Linked DNA regions of Mus musculus: regions 1, 3, 4 and 5 are each reported to be linked to region 2. The links are microRNA targets in miRTarBase. Many come from high-throughput screens and were not tested one by one. Region 2 holds a microRNA gene; each other region holds the end of a gene's coding sequence.
The links. Region 2 holds the annotated microRNA mmu-miR-1264-3p (CAAAUCUUAUUUGAGCACCUGU, at 1,267-1,288, opposite strand). A microRNA usually pairs through its seed, bases 2 to 8, with sites in the 3' UTR of a target mRNA and lowers its output. Matches are read on the target gene's strand: a 7mer-m8 pairs with bases 2 to 8, a 7mer-A1 pairs with bases 2 to 7 and ends in A, and an 8mer does both.

Region 1: miRTarBase lists Trio as a target of mmu-miR-1264-3p. Seed matches in the 3' UTR shown: 8mer at 1,121-1,128.
Region 3: the mRNA of Edem3 is a reported target of mmu-miR-1264-3p. Seed matches in the 3' UTR shown: 7mer-m8 at 2,076-2,082, 7mer-m8 at 1,326-1,332 and 8mer at 44-51.
Region 4: miRTarBase lists Steap3 as a target of mmu-miR-1264-3p. Seed matches in the 3' UTR shown: 7mer-m8 at 2,955-2,961.
Region 5: miRTarBase lists Tmem241 as a target of mmu-miR-1264-3p. Seed matches in the 3' UTR shown: 7mer-A1 at 2,454-2,460.

The regions. Positions count from the first base shown.
Region 1 is chr15:27,729,379-27,733,266 of GRCm38, reverse strand. Trio (triple functional domain (PTPRF interacting)) reads left to right here. Exons shown (of 57, transcript NM_001081302.1): 57 at 237-2,618. The coding sequence ends at 785. Among named protein-coding and RNA genes, the nearest start is that of Otulinl, 50 kb to the right of the region's middle.
Region 2 is chrX:147,008,055-147,011,942 of GRCm38, reverse strand. It overlaps Mir1264 (microRNA 1264), which reads right to left and starts at 1,342; the gene lies at 1,257-1,342. The region is part of intron 2 of Htr2c (5-hydroxytryptamine (serotonin) receptor 2C); the gene reads right to left. It overlaps Mir1912 (microRNA 1912), which reads right to left and starts at 2,502; the gene lies at 2,416-2,502.
Region 3 is chr1:151,818,151-151,821,150 of GRCm38, reverse strand. Edem3 (ER degradation enhancer, mannosidase alpha-like 3) reads right to left here. Exons shown (of 20, transcript NM_001039644.2): 20 at 1-2,841. The coding sequence ends at 2,438. Among named protein-coding and RNA genes, the nearest start is that of Edem3, 64 kb to the right of the region's middle.
Region 4 is chr1:120,224,493-120,228,380 of GRCm38, forward strand. Steap3 (STEAP family member 3) reads right to left here. Exons shown (of 5, transcript NM_001379355.1): 5 at 1,922-3,436. The coding sequence ends at 3,155. Among named protein-coding and RNA genes, the nearest start is that of Steap3, 32 kb to the right of the region's middle.
Region 5 is chr18:11,980,930-11,984,748 of GRCm38, reverse strand. Tmem241 (transmembrane protein 241) reads left to right here. Exons shown (of 15, transcript NM_001289666.1): 15 at 1,156-3,446. The coding sequence ends at 1,219. Among named protein-coding and RNA genes, the nearest start is that of Gm41666, 33 kb to the right of the region's middle.

The DNA of each region.
Region 1 (3,888 bases), not on the chromosome of region 2:
TTGAGGGTGCCTTGGGAAGAGGAGACAGTGTTGAGCTAGGCTATTTGGACCCTAAAGCTGAGAGCCACTCCTAGGGGGCTGTTCCTCTCCAGCTTGTTCCCTCACTGGTCCAAAGAACTTCCTTTGGGTGACAGTTGTGTGGCTAACTTCTGCCTCTCCAGAGGATCCTGACAGTGGTCAGATTGAGCATGGATTAGGGATGTTTGCCAATGACGGTGTCTCCTCCTACATTCTAGCCTGAGAATATCTTGGTGGATCAGAGTTTGGCCAAGCCAACCATTAAACTGGCTGACTTTGGAGACGCTGTCCAGCTCAACACCACCTACTACATCCACCAGTTGCTGGGGAACCCCGAGTTTGCAGCCCCGGAAATCATTCTTGGGAACCCTGTCTCCCTGACCGCGGACACATGGAGTGTTGGGGTGCTCACCTACGTGCTGCTCAGCGGCGTGTCCCCCTTCCTGGATGACAGCGTGGAAGAGACCTGCCTGAATATTTGCCGGCTGGACTTTAGCTTCCCAGAGGACTACTTTCAAGGAGTTAGCCAGAAGGCCAAAGAATTCGTGTGCTTCCTCCTACAGGAGGACCCCGCCAAGCGTCCCTCGGCTGCACTGGCCCTGCAGGAACAGTGGCTGCAGGCAGGCAACGGCAGCGGCAAAGGCACGGGCGTCCTCGACACGTCCAGACTGACCTCCTTCATTGAGCGGCGCAAACACCAGAATGATGTTCGACCTATCCGTAGCATTAAAAACTTCTTACAGAGCAGGCTTCTGCCTAGAGTTTGACCTATCTTGAAGTTCTTTCTCATTCTCTTTCACCTGCCAATCAGCTGTTAATTTGAATTTTTGAAGAGGAAACCAAACCAAAACTAAGTGGCCGGCCGCCGGCTGTTCATCGTGTGAAATGGCATTCCAAGTGAGCTGTGCTCAACAGCGCTTGGGCTCAGAGCTGCAAGGTGCGCTGGGGTGGAGGACCTTCAGTTACACTCTGCATGGGCAGAGACCGCATTGCTGGATCACAGTATTTTATTCAGGTTCCTGCAAAAATAATAATAATAATAATAAAAAAGAGATACTTTTTTTAATGAACATGGATAGAATTTTGCAAATTTAACATTTTCAAGATTTATTCAAAAAAAAAAAAAAACACATGCCTATGTTCAAACCACTGGTGTTACACAGAACTGAGAAACTGTGCATTTCTGGGAGAGACTCGCCAGGTGGCAGCCACTCCCATGGGCTCAGCCAGTGCTTGGTGTCCACCTGGCACCGAGCTTTTCCAGCTGCCTCGTCTGGGTACATCCTGCCGGGCACCAGACTTGGCTTCTGAGATGTGTGTTCAACCTCAATCTTTTGCATAAAATATAATGAATGGTTTTGCTCTGATGAAATGTAGGCCTTACTTGTACATAAGACTCTTCCTGCCTTTTGTCTGGCAATCCCCCACCCCTTCCCCTCCTACCCACCGCCTGGGCCTTCCTCTCGGGGGGTCTGATGGGGTCTGTCCATCCAATGGAGACTTGAGGCTGGGTCCAGCCCCACTGCCCCCTCCCCAGCCCCACCACCCCAAACCGTCAATCAGATTGTTGAACGGTATACAGTCAGATGAAAATACTGTAAATGCACTCATTGGGGTTTTGTTTGTTTTGGTTTTTTTGTTTGTTTTGGTTTTTGTTGTTTTTATTTCATACCATGTGCAATGTTGTGGCTTTAACATTTTCTGCAACTATTTATGAAGACTTCTGTTATACATGTAATAAATATATAGAAAAAGCACATACTTCGCAAGTGAGCTTTATGGTTCTGTGTGTGTTGGGGGTGGGTCGTAGCCCTGTGCCATCCGTCAAGGACACTTAACTCTTCGTGAAATTTGTCAGTTTTGAGGACTGTAAAAAGTGATTTCATACTCTGAATATAAAACTGGATAATAGGGTAATGTTTTAAATTTTATTATGCTATTATTCAGAATGCCAAAGTATTATTTTTTTCCCAGAATCAGTCTGAACATTTACTACTTTTTAGACTTTTTGACATTCAACTTTCTGTATAAAAATTGGCTGGATTTTAAGCTTTTGGTAAGAAAGCCAATTAAGTACTGGCCACCCTGAGGCTGGTACGCAGTGCCCGAGTCACTGTGGCGGAGCTGGCGCTGGGGTGGGAAGTCCTTCAACACAAGAAGTTGGATTTCTGGCAAGCTTGGATTTTTCTGGATGTCTTTTTATCTTTATTGTGTGAAATACACTTAAAAAAGAGACCAGCTTGCTTCCCAAGCCAGACAGACATCTGGGTCGTGAGCCATAAACTGGCATAATTAAGCTTTGCAGTTTCCGGTGTATTTATTTATTCTTCTGTTGGGTTTTTTTGTTTGTTTGTTTCTTGTAAAATTGTACAGAAACTTTTTAAGAGAAATTGGATTCAAAAACTGGATGTGTATCTGTAACCTCATAACTTTTATTTGTGTACTGTTTTCTTTGATTATTTCAGTTAAAACTTTTACATTATTTTTTTGCATGTATATTTCTTTGTACAGAGACCGTACATGTTTACACAGTATGATGTGATGTAAATATTTTATTTTGCCATCAGTTATTTTAAAAAATTAAACATATTTGCCTGATACTGGTGTTAGGCTTTTTATTTAAATTAATCACTGCTGAATTAGAGCGGTCCCTGAGAGAGGCATGGCAGGGGGTGGTGTTTAGGGGTGAGAGGGGGATTGCCGCGGCCTAGTTGAGCTGGTTCAGGCTTGTGATGCAGGGTGATCAGGCATAGCCCGCATACTGCTAGTGTGTAACAGCACACTGGCTGTCTTTTGGTAATGGGGCCTTAGCTCATCCTGATCCTGGGGACCCTGTTTTCCTGATGAAGAGCATTTCATTCTGGCCTCAGAAAAACAGAAGTATTGCCGCTTCCACCCTGCAGGGCCCACCTTTTCCCAGAACACTTCCAGCCCCCCCCCCCCCACACACACACACACACACACTGACGCTCTGGGTCACTGCAGAGTGGGCTGTGTCAACTCTCCTCACTGCTGTCCAACCCACAGGTCTCTCTCCCTGATCACCAATACCATCTCTCAGTTATTTTGGGGTTTTCTTCTGGGATGTCAGCTTGTGTCCGTGTGCTGAATGAAGGATACAGAAAAGGCCTGTGGCAAGATTGGTTTGTCATGATTTCAAGGATTTCCACCCCCCCTCAAGAATATCAAGATGCTTGTCTTTCTTTACAAATCTTTTCAGCCCACAGCTACACTTTATCTGTGAGGTGTGTAGGATCACCAGGATTTTGGCAGAATGTGTCATGATAACGTCTTGTAGCAAGTGTTCATTTAAAAGGCATTATACAGGCCAGGCGTGATGGCCCACGCCTTTAATCCCAGCACTTGGGAGGCAGAGGCAGGCGGATTTCTGAGTTTGAGGCTAGCCTGGTCTACAATGTGAGTTTCAGGACAGCCAGGGCTACACAGAGAAACCCTGTCTCGAAAAATCAAAAAAAAAAAAAAAAAAAGGCATTATACCACCTTTGGACACTAGGAAAAAAGATGCTACTTGTTCATATATGTCTGAGACCTAATGGGGAGGTGGAAATGATTTTTGAAACCAGTAGAGTCCTTCCCAAATTTACCTATATAATTAGATCTCTTTACATTATATTAATATTGAGTATATATAGCATTATATATAATGTACACTAAACTATATCAATTGTCTATCCGCACATGAAATTGTTATGCAAAAATATGCCGCCCCCCCCCCCGAAAAAATAATCCCTCTCTGCCAGCAGGTATCTCTGTTCTGAGTTCTGTCTTCCGTAGATGAACTTGCCTTGGGATTTCATGTATGTAGTCATTCATGGGAATAACTACATAAAGTGACCTGGGCACTGTCAT
Region 2 (3,888 bases):
TGATTACTAAATCATTCATCAAACATTTTATCTATATGGATTACCACTCAAGCCCATGTATGTATAAGTAATTGAATACAGAACAGTGAATAACATCTGCATAATTTTTGTACATAGAATGAAAATGAAAGGAAAAAGCGAGGAGAAATTAAAGGAGGAAAATGAAGAGAAGGGCAGGTATATCTAGTTCCTGTCTCATAAATGAGACTGTTGTGGAGCCAGATATTGTGGTGCATACCTTTAAGCAGGAGGACCAGAATTTCTGGGTCATCTTCTGCTTCATAGTCAGTTTAAGACCAGACTAGGCTATTGGGTATCTTGTTACAAACAATCTCAATCAACCAACCAAACCAACAGCAAAACTCTCAGTAGAAAAATCAACAAATAAATAGAAAAAGAGATTGAGGGCATCCTTCATGAAAATTGATAACAATACTAGTTTATATTCAAAGTGGTCTTTACATCATTCATAAAGTAGACTAACCAATTTGTTTTTCCTAATGTATACCTCTAGTCCGATAAAATCAACAATAACAGCTATACCTTACAAAGATGTCATAGGAGCAATTCAAATGTAAAACATTTTATTCCTTGATCTTCTCAGGAAAGGTGTTCGGTTAAAATACATTATCTATTGTCCTATCTCCAGTGGAATTTTAAAATTAGAAACAACAAATGCTATTTTCATATTCAAATTACTTTCAAGTAACTGGCTAGAAATTAAACCTGAAAAGTAGTAAAATGATGGACAAGGTACTTAAAAACATTCTGGATACGATTTACTATAAATAATGGATAAAAACCTTTTGGATAAGTTTTATTATAAATGATAGATAATACATGTAAGTAAAAAAGAACTAAGAGGCACAAAGCCTTTAAGGAACTCACATTATTTCATACTATGTTAATGTAATATGCTGAAGACATTAAGAAAAATGGTTATGAAAAGGTTTTATGGTGATCCAGGAAGTTCTATTTTAATTTATTGACCCTTGTAAGATTACTGATTTAGTATTCCTTTTTATAAATACTTAAATTTCTACAAGAAATGCTTTTGCTCCCATACTTCATATAAGTCCCAGGTTCAAGTCTCTAAATTCTTTGATAATGGGACATGAACTGCGCATCTGTGATCTTTTTAAAAGATGTATTTGATATTATTACAGTTTCAAAAATGATAGTCATTTGTACATTTACCTTATATTCATTCTCTCCCATATAAGATCACAAGCTCTGTTTGGTTTGTAGTTTTTTATCCTCCACATAACAGGTGCTCAAATAAGATTTGTTGCTTCATTTATTTTTTCAACAAATACTTATTGAGGACCTGCTATATGCCAGGCATGAAGAAATATAACGTGTTCTATGTATCCTGACATTGTCTTTAAAAAGTTCGACCATATTTTTCAATATGACATAGAAGTTTCAATATTTCTAAAAAGTAATTACTAAATCATTTTCTTTATAAACCTCCTTTTATCTCTACTTTGTTCTTAGTTGTATCTAAATATAGAGCTGTTGTGTTTCTGACCTATAATGTGTTTTATTCTGGCTCTTCAATTAGACTTTTTAATACATATTTAGTTTGGCTTTGCTTCCTTACATAAACAAGGAGATGCCAAAACAAGAACAAGTACGTTTTAATTATAAGTATTAAATGTGCAAGGATTGCTATGCTTTCAAATCAAGCTAAATCATTCTACTACTCTAGAAAAGTCTTCTATTTAAAATGAATGACATATATCTATTCAGAATATTTTCAATAATAAGTTTCAAATGTAAGAATGAGGTGAGCATCAGGTGACATATTTATTAATATCCCATTAATAATGTAAAACATCTGCATCTAATGTGTCATCAATGTAATTTTTGACACATGGTCATAATATATTTGAAACAAAAGTTTTATGTTGTTGAATCAATGGGATATTTGAGGAAATTGTCTTTCTTTTACTTTGATGCATGTGAATGCTTTGCCTGCGTATATAAGTGCACCACATGCATGCAGTGCCCAAGGAGGCCATCAGAGGGTGTTAGATTCACTGAAGGTGGAGTTAAAAAACACTTGTAAACCAAATTTTGGGTGCTGGGAATTGAACCTTGGTCCTCTGCCAGAGCAACAAGTACTCCTAACTGCTAAGCCATTTCTCTAGCATCTGAATTATTGTTTATAATTCTACTAAAAAGCTAACTTTGACTCTGTGTGAAATTTTAACAATCTATGTAAAGAAGAATATCAAGTAACAAATAAAAATAGAATCAATATGGAAGTTCAAGTAGTGTGTTTTTGAATCTAGGTTGTGGTGTTTGGAGACAGGATTAGTAAAAACCTTTAAATGGATGGTTAGTTAATTAATCTGTACCAAATACAAAGTTATCCTATAAGAATTCGTGGTTTATTCTTCTGGATGTCTTCCAATCTCTATCAAGTTCTCACTGCATGTTCTGTGTATTAAATAAAAATCTACACAGCCCATGCAATGAGCACATCCTAGAGACTAATATGCTTGTGATATGTAGTTCAATAGTTGTTAAGGGGTCATCAGCTTGTTAAGTTAAAAAATATTAAGTATATTTGAAATATTAGTTGGCAAAGTGGAAAACTTAACCAAAGAATTATGGAATATTGGAAATTGAAGAACCAATAGATTAGCAATCTGTCACCCTCTACCATTGCACTACATACTCTTTCAAACCATATAAAGAAAACAAATAGCTACCACAAATAAAGGTTGATATTTGAGAACCTCCTGAGATAACATAAAAATTTATAAACTCAAATAGAAAAGGTCATTGTTCACTACATCCAAACTAAATTCCCTACTCTGGTTAGTGATCCTGTAGATAGATGGTTTTATGAGAAAAAAAAATATTGGACATAGGAAGAAGGAAAACCTGGATTACATGTTATATTTCTCTGAATTTGTACAAATTAGTTCAATCTCTGGGTCTCAGTTTATACCTATTAAACAGGGACATCAGTAACTAAATTTGCTATTTTTTTTTCAAAAGATAAAAGACTTTAATAGGTCAAAGATCTCTGTCAATTATAAAAAGTTAAGTAAAACTGGTTCTTGGTCTTACCTGAATCAACGTATTTTCCTCATAGGTCTTGTTTTTTAATATTTTTTGTGCTGTTTTTTTTTCCTGAAATGTTCCCAACAACTTTTATGTTATTTTTCAGTTCCATGACCCTGAATTAAATGTTAGACTTTATGGAGTAGCTATGTGATGACTAATTACCTATTTTTTTTTTTAATGAACAAGTTTCTTGCAATGCAGTTGTCTGGAAACAACTAAAGTCCTGGCTACAATCAAATTTAGAATAAATAGGCAGGACAGGGAGAGAGTTAATAAGGAAGTGAACAAATGCACAAGATAATTGCAGAAGAATAATGCTGTAAAAATACAACAGAGCCAAGTAAAATAAGAGACAGAGTTTAAATAGTGAGGGTTGCTGGTGTATGTATCATGGGAGATTAATGAAACAGTCACACATAACCTGGGACTTAAAGAATGAGGAGCATCTAGGCAACTGAAATAATACTGTTACAAAGAGAACATCAAGAGCATGTGACTTCAAACTGGGTGTGAATTACTATGGCTGGGGAAAGGAAAATGCCTGAGGTCCTATCGCTGAGCCCTAAATACTGCACAGTTGTAAATATGGAATGGTGTGCTAAGACAAGTAAACAAATCTTCACTGATGGTTTGGTGGAGTTGTTTTTTGAATCTTATAAATATGTTCAACATAGCATCACCAGGAGCCTTAATATTTACTTGCTAAATGATCTGCAAAATGAACTTGGGTTTGAAAAATATTTTGGTTTAGTCCCTATCATTCTAAAGACCAACTATGGATTATATTTAAATGAAACAATTTGGGGA
Region 3 (3,000 bases), not on the chromosome of region 2:
TCAGGTAATATCCGCACTTGATTCCAGGTTTGTAAACATTATATAAATCTTTCTTAGTCAAACAATTTTATGGCTGTGGTGATCATTTCAGCTCTATTTCTAAGCAGTCAACATTTAACTGAGGTAGACCAGATGTTTCTAAACTCAGGGTCTCAGAAGTCCCTGAATCTTCAGCAAGTAAATAAAATATCTATGAAAGGTTTTTAACAAACATCAACAACAATGAAAAAAAAATTTTTTAAAAATCTATGCTGTTGGAATTTCCTAGTGAACTCAAAAGACTACTTTGTGGCAGGCAGTATGTCAAATACAAAAATGGATGGAGACTCAGTTAGAATGTTGTGTTCTGACGCTGAACGTATTCCTCTTTTCTTAAGTAGGGGGAACTGAGTATTATTCCTTCTAGTTAGTAAGTAAAATGTCTTAAATTTATTTCTTTAAAGGATTTGGTTTTCCTAAACAAATCAATAGGTGCCTTAATGAAGGGCAACAGCTCCTCCTAGTGGCCAAAGGAATGTAAGTGGCAGTCGCTGGCTTTTCCTAATGTGCCATGGGCTCCCCTTCATGCCCTTAAGTTCTCAAAGGAAAAAAATATGCGGCTTTGATAACTTAGCAGAGTTTGATTTAGTCAACAATGGCTTTGAGCTACAAATACAAAATCAATCCATAGAAGGCTTCTGTAATCAAAGTCGCCAAGGAACATCTGTTCCCTTCCTCCAAGCCCCAGTCCTAGAAATCAAGTCAAGTAATTAAGCGTCAGCTATTTTGGCAGCTTTGCAATGAAATAAAACGAAGCACATCTCCCCTTCTGTATACTCTATGTATTACGGTTCTATCTTCTCACACCAAACTTCCCATGCAGAGAGACTAAAATACCCATGTTTGCTGTCAGGTTTAACTACGAGTTAATGAAGGCCTTGCCATGCTACCCCGGCCCCAAGGAATTCTCTAAGATTCATCACTCACTGACCAATCATTTATTTGGACCTTTTGAAAACAGGTATTTATTCCCTTATAAAAGGGCACGCTTACCTGGGACCTAAGACATGAACTTACACAACTACAGCACAGCACTGCTGTCATTCATGGCTCCATAGATAACCTAAGTCATTCAGTACCTCAAAACCACGTTGTAGAGAAAAGTTACTGTGTAATGCCATGGTAAAAAGGAATGAAGTCCCTCAAATATTCCTTTAGAAGCAATTAAAACAAGTTCAAAAATAAATAAAATGAATAAAACCATGATTTCAATGTAGAAGTATCAATAAGCAAAACCAAAAATAATTAAATGTGACCAGCTCCAGACTGCCACACACACCCCCAAAAAATCTTTTTCTTTTACTTATATGGCTATATAGTTTTTACACAGGTCACCAGAGACTAATTTTCAAGTCCACATTAGAAGGAAGGAGTATTTGTTAAAACAAAACAAAACAAACCTAAACCCATGATTTAACAGAAAATGTGACAGACTCCAGCTTCAAAGGAGAAAGACAGTAGTCACCCCGGGACTACAGTCTACTACCATGGTTTCTCATGGCTCTATAAGATAGGGAGATGGAGCAGGGCTTGGAGACGAGCCTTCCATCTCAAACTGCATACTAAAATGGATGGAGTAAGGCTGATGGTTAGAGGAACCACCTTAAGAGAAATGAACTAGAAAAGACTTCCAATCTACCCCACCAGGACCTAATGCTGAGTTCCATCTAGAGTAGTCATAGCTTCCCCCAACGGGAAGTTGATATTGCAACATTACAGTTTCTCCTTCTCTATTTACCCCGAGCAGTAAGCAACAAATTTCCACACTATCTACCGGACCCTCTCCATGGCCCCGTAGTAGGTCTTTACGGAGACCTATGGGAAAAGTACACTGGGCTCAGCTTTGGTTAAATGCTAAGGTCATTGTTGGGAGAGGAAAAGAAATCAAGTCGTCCTGGCCATTTGTCACTGATTGAAGCATGTAACAGCGATGCGCAGAAACTGTCATTGCCGTAAATGCATCTGCTTCAGAACCCGTAGGTCACTTAGAGAGTTCCTGTGAAGGCAGCAAAGCCGAGATGCCACAATACTCGCTCAAATCTTCCCCAAGCCCAAGGCAGTGAAGCTTTCTTCAATCAGAAAGCGACACTGACTCTGTTCCCAGGTTCCATTAGCTGAATTTGCTTCTTGTCTACCCAGGAGTGGGCAGTCATCTTTCCCTGGCCAGGGATACCGCCATCTGAGGGCTTGTGAGTCTCCACTTTGGATGGGGCAGTTTCAGTGGTCAGCTCTAACACAGCGTGCTCCAGGTTCCTATGGTGGCTACTTACCCCAGTCAGAACGCGCTTGAGCAATGCTCAGAGCCTCCCAGGAGAGCCTGCTTGGTACAGGGTGGGTGTCACAAACCACAGTTTACCTCTTCCTTTTAAATATCTACCACCAGAGTCTTTCCAGAGAGTCATAGTTCATCCTTCTCCATCATTTCAAATGCTTCTATGTCTTCATTCCAGTCTGCTAATATGGAGTCTATAGGCTGGGCCTTTGTACCCCAGCTGACATTAGGACTGGAATCTTCCTCAGTTTCTGATTGTTCTTGAACTTGGTTATCTAAGTCTGTACATTCACCATCAAGGCTTGTAGTCTCGTGGTTTTCGGTGGACCCAGATATCTGTTCAGAGGGGGCAAAGCCAGCAGCCTCTTCACTGTCCGATGGAGACGCCTCTGAGTGAGAATCTGCAGGGTGTTCAGGGCTCTCCTTATCAGCCAAGTCGACTGTCTGAGAAAGCGAGAGCATCTGCTCTGCGCTCTGATTCTGAGAATCATTTTCAGAAGATGGCTGGTCTTCATTTTCCATTTCGGGATCTGCACAGGAAAGAAGCAAACACATCACTCTCCCTCTTAAAAACTGCACCACATTTACAAAGTCACCTGGTTTCTGCAGTAAAATAAATAAAGCAGCCAATCAATGACAGCTGTGAGTGTGCTGGCAGTGAAAACCAGTGTCCCTCCCAATGGAAAGGA
Region 4 (3,888 bases), not on the chromosome of region 2:
TTTGAAAACCAGTCTCTGCTTACAACGGGAACTTGCAGAAACAAGCCAGGTTTCTAGTCCAGTAAACAAAACCAGCGCTTGGTAAGCAGGGCCTCGTTATTCACCTCATGGGAGGGGAGGGAAGCTTCACATGTCCACTGTGTCCGAGGGGAGGTTGGAATGGCCAGGGTATCCAAGTTTCCACTGTGTGCGGAGCAGAAGCTCTCTGCAACCGTTGGAGATGTAACTCAGCAGAGATAAACTATCTGAAATTGTAGAACTTTTTGAGACCAACACCCAACACTTTATATGCTTCCCAGGAAATATGCAGTTTTTCGTATATGTGTGTGCAGGGTGGCAGACAACTCTGACTACCATTCCTCAGGCACCTTGTGTTTTACAACCCAGACTGTGTTGTGGGGACCTTGCCCGCTCCATCATTGGCTTGTCATTCCTCTGCACACCTGCCATTCCTCAGTGGCCACCTCTGGTGCAGATTAATGTTCACCTTGGCATCCCTATCATCTAATGTATGGCCGAGTGAGCACAGGCTCCAGGCACAAAGGAACCATTGCCCGTGTGGTCCTGTTGCCAGAAAGGAAAGCCTGGCGTTCACATGGCTCTGTGCTGTCGATTCTGAGAGATGAGACAGGAACTGTGTCCACCATAGAGAGACTTTGCAAGTCCACTGCAGGCTGTGGCATTTCATCTCTAGATCACTGGGCTGGGGTACTCTGGGACTTTACCAGGCTTAGAGTGACCAGTCTCCTTGAAGCTGCTGACTGCCCGGGGAGATGGGGAGAAACAGGGACAGATGCAAGATCACCTGCCACCTATGAGCTGATTGACAAGTACCCACTGCCCATCTGATAAGCAGCTGTGACAGCAACAAGGCAAGGAAAGGAACTTGTCTTGTTCCCACCGTGGGTATCCTTGCTAAAGTGGGCACCTCTGCTACAGTGGGCACCTCTGCTACAGTGGGTACCCTTGCTACAGTGGGTACCTCTGCTACAGTGGGTACCCCTGCTACAGTGGGTACCTCTGCTACAGTGGGTACCCCTGCTACAGTGGGTATCTCTGCTACAGTGGGTACCTTTGCTGCAAGGAACTGTCTCCCTCCAGAGAAAGATGGAGAAGGCAGTAGATCCCCACCAGCTGGGACTACTTGTGATTTTCAATGTTCTTCCTGCTTGCAGTCAGCAGGGAATTCATTGGTCCCTGTTATGCTGGGATCTCTGCTTTGCCTCCAGTGGTCCTCTCTGTGGGCCATAGCTGGCACCAGTTCAGGTCGTAGGCCCTGTTTCTAGCATGAAATATTGGCTGTCATACTTTCAAGAAGCAGCCAGACTCTCCAGTGTGACACCTCTGCCCAATAACAAAAGGGTTTTGCACTGGGCTCTTGTCCCCTTTTCACTTAAGGACCCTTGTGACACCCTCCCTGGTGGGAAGAAGGACATCTCATCCTGGGTACTTTGGCCAAGTACGTCTTCCTTCCCTGTGTCAAAAGATGCTTCCTGGCCCAGGGGAGTCAACAGGATCTCTCTTATGGAATGATAGATCACTCAAGCTCCGCAGGATTTAGGGGACTGGCTCTTTCCTAACTCTTTCCTCATAGATGGACGTCACAGGGCTGGGAGGATAGATGCGCCATGCCCTGACAATGGTCTGGCCCTCTGTGTTTGGGGCAGTAAAGCTTGACACTTGTAGCTTTGGCAGAAAAGCCACTCCCAGTTGTTTTGAATTATAAAGCAGTCTCAGGATTCCTGAGACTGTAGATAATCAAAACACATGTGGGAGTGTGCGCACGTGTGCGAGCACACACACACACACACACACACAAGCATATGTTACATTTCTCCTATACACGCCTGTGATTAAGTCTAATTAATAAACCAGGCCCAGGAAAGCTTAATAAGAATAATAAACAAAGGACAATTTTAACTATTGTAATAAAATGAGGTCTCTTTAAGAATTCAAAAAAACAATATTTGAAGACTTTTGTGGTTGAACGTAACAGTGAGGGAGGGAGGGAGGGGAGGAAGGAGGGAGGGAGGCAAAAACACGGGGAAGGGGGCTGTGGAACCCCCTGAAGAAGAGCATGGGGCCACTGTGTTTTCTGGGTGCTCAGAAGGTAGGTTTTCTGCCTACAGGCGACAGGGTAAATGAAAAGGGTCCCTATTATTCTCCTCAGGGACCAATTTAATGAAGGCAGGCCTGGGGCACATCCAAGGGGAGGGTTGCCCCAAGAAGAGGATTCGATGGTTATTCTCTGCAATCTCTAATGCTCCCCCCCACCCCGGACTGCCCAGACAAGTGTCCACTCCACGGAGATGTCCAAATTAATGATGGAAAAGGCGAGAAGGCACAGTGATTTAAAGGGGGGGTCACCAGCAACTTAATGGAGAGGAAACAATTATCCTCCTCCCGAAGACCAGGTTCATTAATGGCTCTGGAGAGGCGGTGACTTCACACCTTCGCAGAAGGATCAATTTGCAGGCTCCGGTGGTGACTCTGGACTTTCAGGGGGTGGGGAAGAATCTTCTCAGCTCAGCTAGGATCAGATGGGGCAGCTTCAGACCCTTCCCTGAAGAAAGGACGGACCTGAAAAAGCTCCTGCATAGATCCCAGGGGGTCTTGCTGAGCCTCCCCACGCACGCCCAGGGAAGCAGCAGAGTCCAGACCTGGTTCCCTGTTCACTCGAGGCTTCTTTCTTAGCCCTGGGATGGGGGTAGGCGGCACCAGAGGCATTTCTTGCCCCAGCTTTGCACCAACTTTAGGATTCAGCTAATAAGGAGCATAGAGATTAAAGGAGAGAATCCAACGAAAGACAGTTTCTCCTATACCAGAGTGTCTGTCTGCCTCTGTAGATACCACAAGGGTGGGATCTGCTGTTCAATGTGTGGCATTTGCTTTGAAATGCTTACGCTGAAATATAGGGACCCACTTTTTTTTTTTAGCTAAGTAAGAATAATAGCAAATCTTATTATATGTGAAATATATGTAAGTACATATCACATGTATGGGGTGTCATTCTGAGTATGTCAGTTTACACCTGCATCCCAGGAATTAGGATCTCAGCCACCCACGCATATATCATCACCTCGCTGTGCAGCATCCAGAAAAGAGACCCGAACCCAGCTCAGGGCCCCCACAAGCCATCTCCACTTCCAGGGCCTCACACGTGGCTTGTTTTCTCCCCCTGTGTGTGGTCGCCGGGCAGCATGAACTTGACAGCCCCATCTTTCTCCCAGCCCCTGCGTATCTTGGTGAGTCTGCGGTTGAGGCAGGGCAGGAGGAAGAGGCCCTTGGCCAGGATGATCACACAGGGCAGGAGCAGCGTGAGTGTGAATGTGGGCGGCAGGTAGAACTTGTAGTGGTTTTCCTCAAAGGCACGGGTCCAGCCGTAGGTGAGTGTGTGCATTGTGCTGAGTATCAGGGCCACGAAGCCCAGTGTGGACTGTGGAAAGAGAGAAGGCAGGAATGAGAGGACGGCCCCTGAGCCCAGGGCATCTCTGGGTCAAATCCCAGCTCCCTGTGCCAACTTGGAGGAGTCGATCTTCTCATTTTCCCATGTAAGTCCCAGGAATGAACTTCAGGTTGTCAGGGTTGGCAGCAACTGCCTTGACCACTGAATCATCTTGCTGGCCCTGGCCACCATCCCCTCCCCTACTTCTTGACAGGGCGTCTCCTCTTCTAGTCTACCCTCAAACTCAGTATGTAGCTAAGGATGACCTTGACCTCCTCATCTTTCTACCTCTGTCTCACAAGTGCTCTGTTGGGAAGAGAATCCAGGGCTTCATGCACATAAGGCTAGCTCTACTCCTGAGCCATAGCCCCAGAGCCCTCTGCTCTTCTTCTCTATGATGCTATGATTGCTTCCTAAACTATCTGGGCCTGCATCCCTGGCTG
Region 5 (3,819 bases), not on the chromosome of region 2:
TGAGTGATTTCGTTTCCTTCAGGCAGAGGGTGAGTAGCCAGCCCACTGCTACTGAGGCAGACATGTTTCTCTAGAAGCTCGTCTGGTTAGGGAATAGTCATGTATTTGTGGGGACTCCATTATAGGCCAAGCACAGGTGGCTTCAGATATGTTCTATGTAAGCCTCATACACACTGGGACTTGTGGTCACTTCCAGGAAGGAAACAAAGGCTGCATAGATCTGAACTCCTGACAGATTTTAAGTTTATTTCGTTCACATGCTCATACTTAGTTCATTCTTGGACTAAAGAACAGAGTGGTACAAATCACCTGAATGTCAGCATTTCTATATAGGTTTTTACTGGGAAGGTGATACGGGTGTTTCATATATTCAGCATCTCAGATGCATTAGAAAGACAGAGATACCAATGTTGAGTGTATGTGTGCTGAGTTTGCATAAGAGAACTGGGGTATTAGGTGGGTGGGCAGAGGAAGGGAAGAGAGAGTCTAACCAAAGGGTGGTCGTCACTTCTGGAAAAAACTTTCACTGACAGGGACCTGCCATCATAAACCCTTAGCAGCGATCCAGCCCAGTCCCCAGAAACACAACAGGCACCAGACTGTCTACCAAGAAGTTTAAAACAGAGGATGGAAAGGCCTCTGGGTGCATTGTATTTTAGAAATGTTAAAGTATCTAATATCTTCTCCCCGGCTGCAGTTCTCACATCTTAATTTTCAAATCGCCCACCACATTTCTTTCTGTGTTAGTGGGAAATGTATGACTCCCATTTCTGTGCTCACCTTTAAATGCTCTGTTAGTCTATTAGAAGCCACACCCTTCTTAATTAAAAGGTTGCGTCTGTACAATTTCATATTCCACAATTCCCTTTAGCCAGAAGCCCCCAAGGGGTCATGGGACGTTCTTCCCGTGCTTTTTCCTTCAGAGTGTTAACCTGGTCAGGATATGTGGGACACCCGCCCTTCCCTAAGGAGCCCACACCCGTCACTTCCCGCCCAGTGACTGATGGTTTCCCTTTAGTGATGTGATGGCTTCTGGGCTATACCTTGACCCAGGCTTGCCTGGGCTGGTCGTGGTGGAGCGCCTCACTCTTCTATGTTGTTTATAGGTGCCAGCCTGCAGGGTGAGGAAAGTTGACCATATGCTACTGTTTGCAGCTTCCTGCTTGGTGGACTTGGCGAGGCCCTGCTGGTTTTCTCAGAGCGGAGGAGTTCCTCATGAAGATGGACAAGAAAAGGCAGCCTGCAGCTTGCTGCTGGAGGACACAGCCCCTGGCCTCCCTCTTGAGAGCTATAAAAAGACCACATTACAGTGAGACCATGCTGAGGTTTCCAGCTGGGCAAAGCTGTGAGCTGCACATGCCCCAGCCAAGTTGAACACATGGATGGCTGATGATTGCAACAGCCCACTTTCTTATTATTAGGGGGACTTCCCAGGGACCGCTGCAGAGAATGGGTCCGTCTTATATGCTGAACCATCTCCTCTCTGCTGCACCCAGTTCTGCGGGATCAAGAAGCAGAGGGTCTTAATGGGATGGCTGTGTCCTACCAGTTACTGCTTTGGAATTGATGTCACAGTCCATGGAATCTTGTTGCATTTTGGGGAGTTGTTTTGTGTCTTTACATCTTGGAGTCTCTTATACCCTTTGATTTTTCTGGAGCCCATGCCTTCCCACACAAAACAAGACATGTATGTTATGACATGTGGGACAGGGCAGGTGTGGGGTTGATCAGGGGCGCTGGACCAAGTGAAACCCCAGCGAAGATCCTTAGCTTGGAGTGAGTGGCAGCCTTTGTGGTTATGCTGATGTAGTTCCAGCCTCTAATTTTCTCTTGTTCTTTTGAGTTTGTCAGGATGTGTTGAATCTGTAGACCATTGAACATGGGTAGATTAAGCTGATAACTAATCGATTACCTGAAGTCTTTGAAGTATTCTGTAGTTCAGGTGGGCCTTAAATACCACACCTTCTGCCTTAGCCTCCTGAGTGCTGAGATCGCAGGCACTAGCTATTTTATGCTTAGTGTGTGTTCCCTAAAGTCTTTACTATGTGTGATTCCTTCATAACTCAGAAGAGATCTCAAGTCATTGAGCACTGGATTTTATCTCTTACACCAAATTATAAAAATTAAAGTCCCATAGCTCTAGAGAATAAACCACTATATAAAATATTCACTTGATTCTGAAGCCAGCAAGGCTTAAGAAAATAATGCTAGATTTTCTTCTCATTGGTGTCACAGAACTTGGTTGTTGTTCCAAGTCTTCGGTGGTTTTGGCCGTACTGAGCTTACTTCATCAGCCTTCCAGTGTAGGAGACCCGTGCCATTGACCCACAGAGACCCTCTGGGCTATGAGGATTGCTCCTTGTTGCAGGCTCAGATCCAGGATGAATGAGAGCAGCTCATTGTTGCTACATTTTTTCCCCAACTTGTTGGCAAACAGAATGAAACAGGAGGATAGATTTATGTATATAGAATGTGAGGACCTTTAATTCCTGTCCTTTCCTGATCTCTGCTCATCATTTAAGGTGAAAATGTTCCAAGACTTGATGCCTGTGTACTTTTCAATTTGCTGTCTTAGAATATTTTTACATTTATTTATTCTATTATTTTATGTGTATTGTATACCACATGTGTGCCTGGTACCTGTGAAGGTCAGAAGAGGCCATCAGCTCTACAGAAACTGGAGTTACAGATAGTGAGCTGCCACGTGACTGCTGTGAATTGAACTCATGCTCTGCAAAAGTGATCTTAACTGCTGAGCTAACTCGACTCTCCTGCCCTGTAATTTGCTTTTTAAAAATATTTGTATTTAAATTGTCTGTATGTTTATAAGCATGTGCATAATGAGTGCAGGTGCCCCAGGGAGGCCAGAGGAGAATATTGGGTCCCCTGGAGTTGGAATTACAGGAAGTTATGAGCTGCCCAGTGTGGGTTCTGGGAGACAAACTCTGGTCCTCTATAGGAACATTGCATGGTCTTAACTGAGCGTGTCTCTCTAGCTGAGCACTCGCTGTTGTTCTTCATCTAGTATAGCAAACCAGTAAGTAGATAGGAATGTCCTATAGAGCAAATAGAGACTCTGAGCTTAGAATTTTCCTTTTTTTTAATACCCACAAAACTTTCTACTGCTCCCTTTCCCCTGACCCCACTTTTGCAAAAGTGGTATCTGTCCAGATGTCATCCTGTGCCTGTCCTAAATGTCATTTAAGCAATGGAGAGTCCTCAGGTGGAGAGAACCACACAGCTACTAATCCCAGCGCCATCTCTAGCAGGAAGAACCTTTACTGAGAAGTTTTACTGAGAAGTTTCAGACACTTTGGCTGTAAAGATGTCTAGCAGCTAGTGCTTTGTTTTTCAACCACATTGAGTTCCATTGTTCCTGAGTCTCTCTCGGGTGTTTTTGTTGTGTGCTGAGAAGGTAAGATGATGGGACCAGTTGCTCCTTCAGTGCACTGACCTGTGTACTCAGTTTCCATCTGTGTTCGGAGCTTCTTTCTTTAAGGTGTGGCCACCATCTTTCATCCCCCCTCCTCATGCTCAGCTCTGAAAGTTCAGTAAACCCAGGGATGCATGAAGGCCTCCCATTACTGAGCTCTGAGCTCTGCTGTGAGTACCTGGGCCCAGGCTTCTAAGGTATCCACAGACCTCATGCTGTCATGCCTACTCAATTCTGAGTTCTTACCAACTCCAAATGTATGTATGTTTGTTTGTTTGTTTGAGGCAGGGTCTCTATTATGTAGCCCTGGCTGTCCTACTAGATGTGTAGGCCAGGCTAGCCTTGAACTAGCCTGCCTTTGTCTCCCAGTACTGAACTTAAAAGGC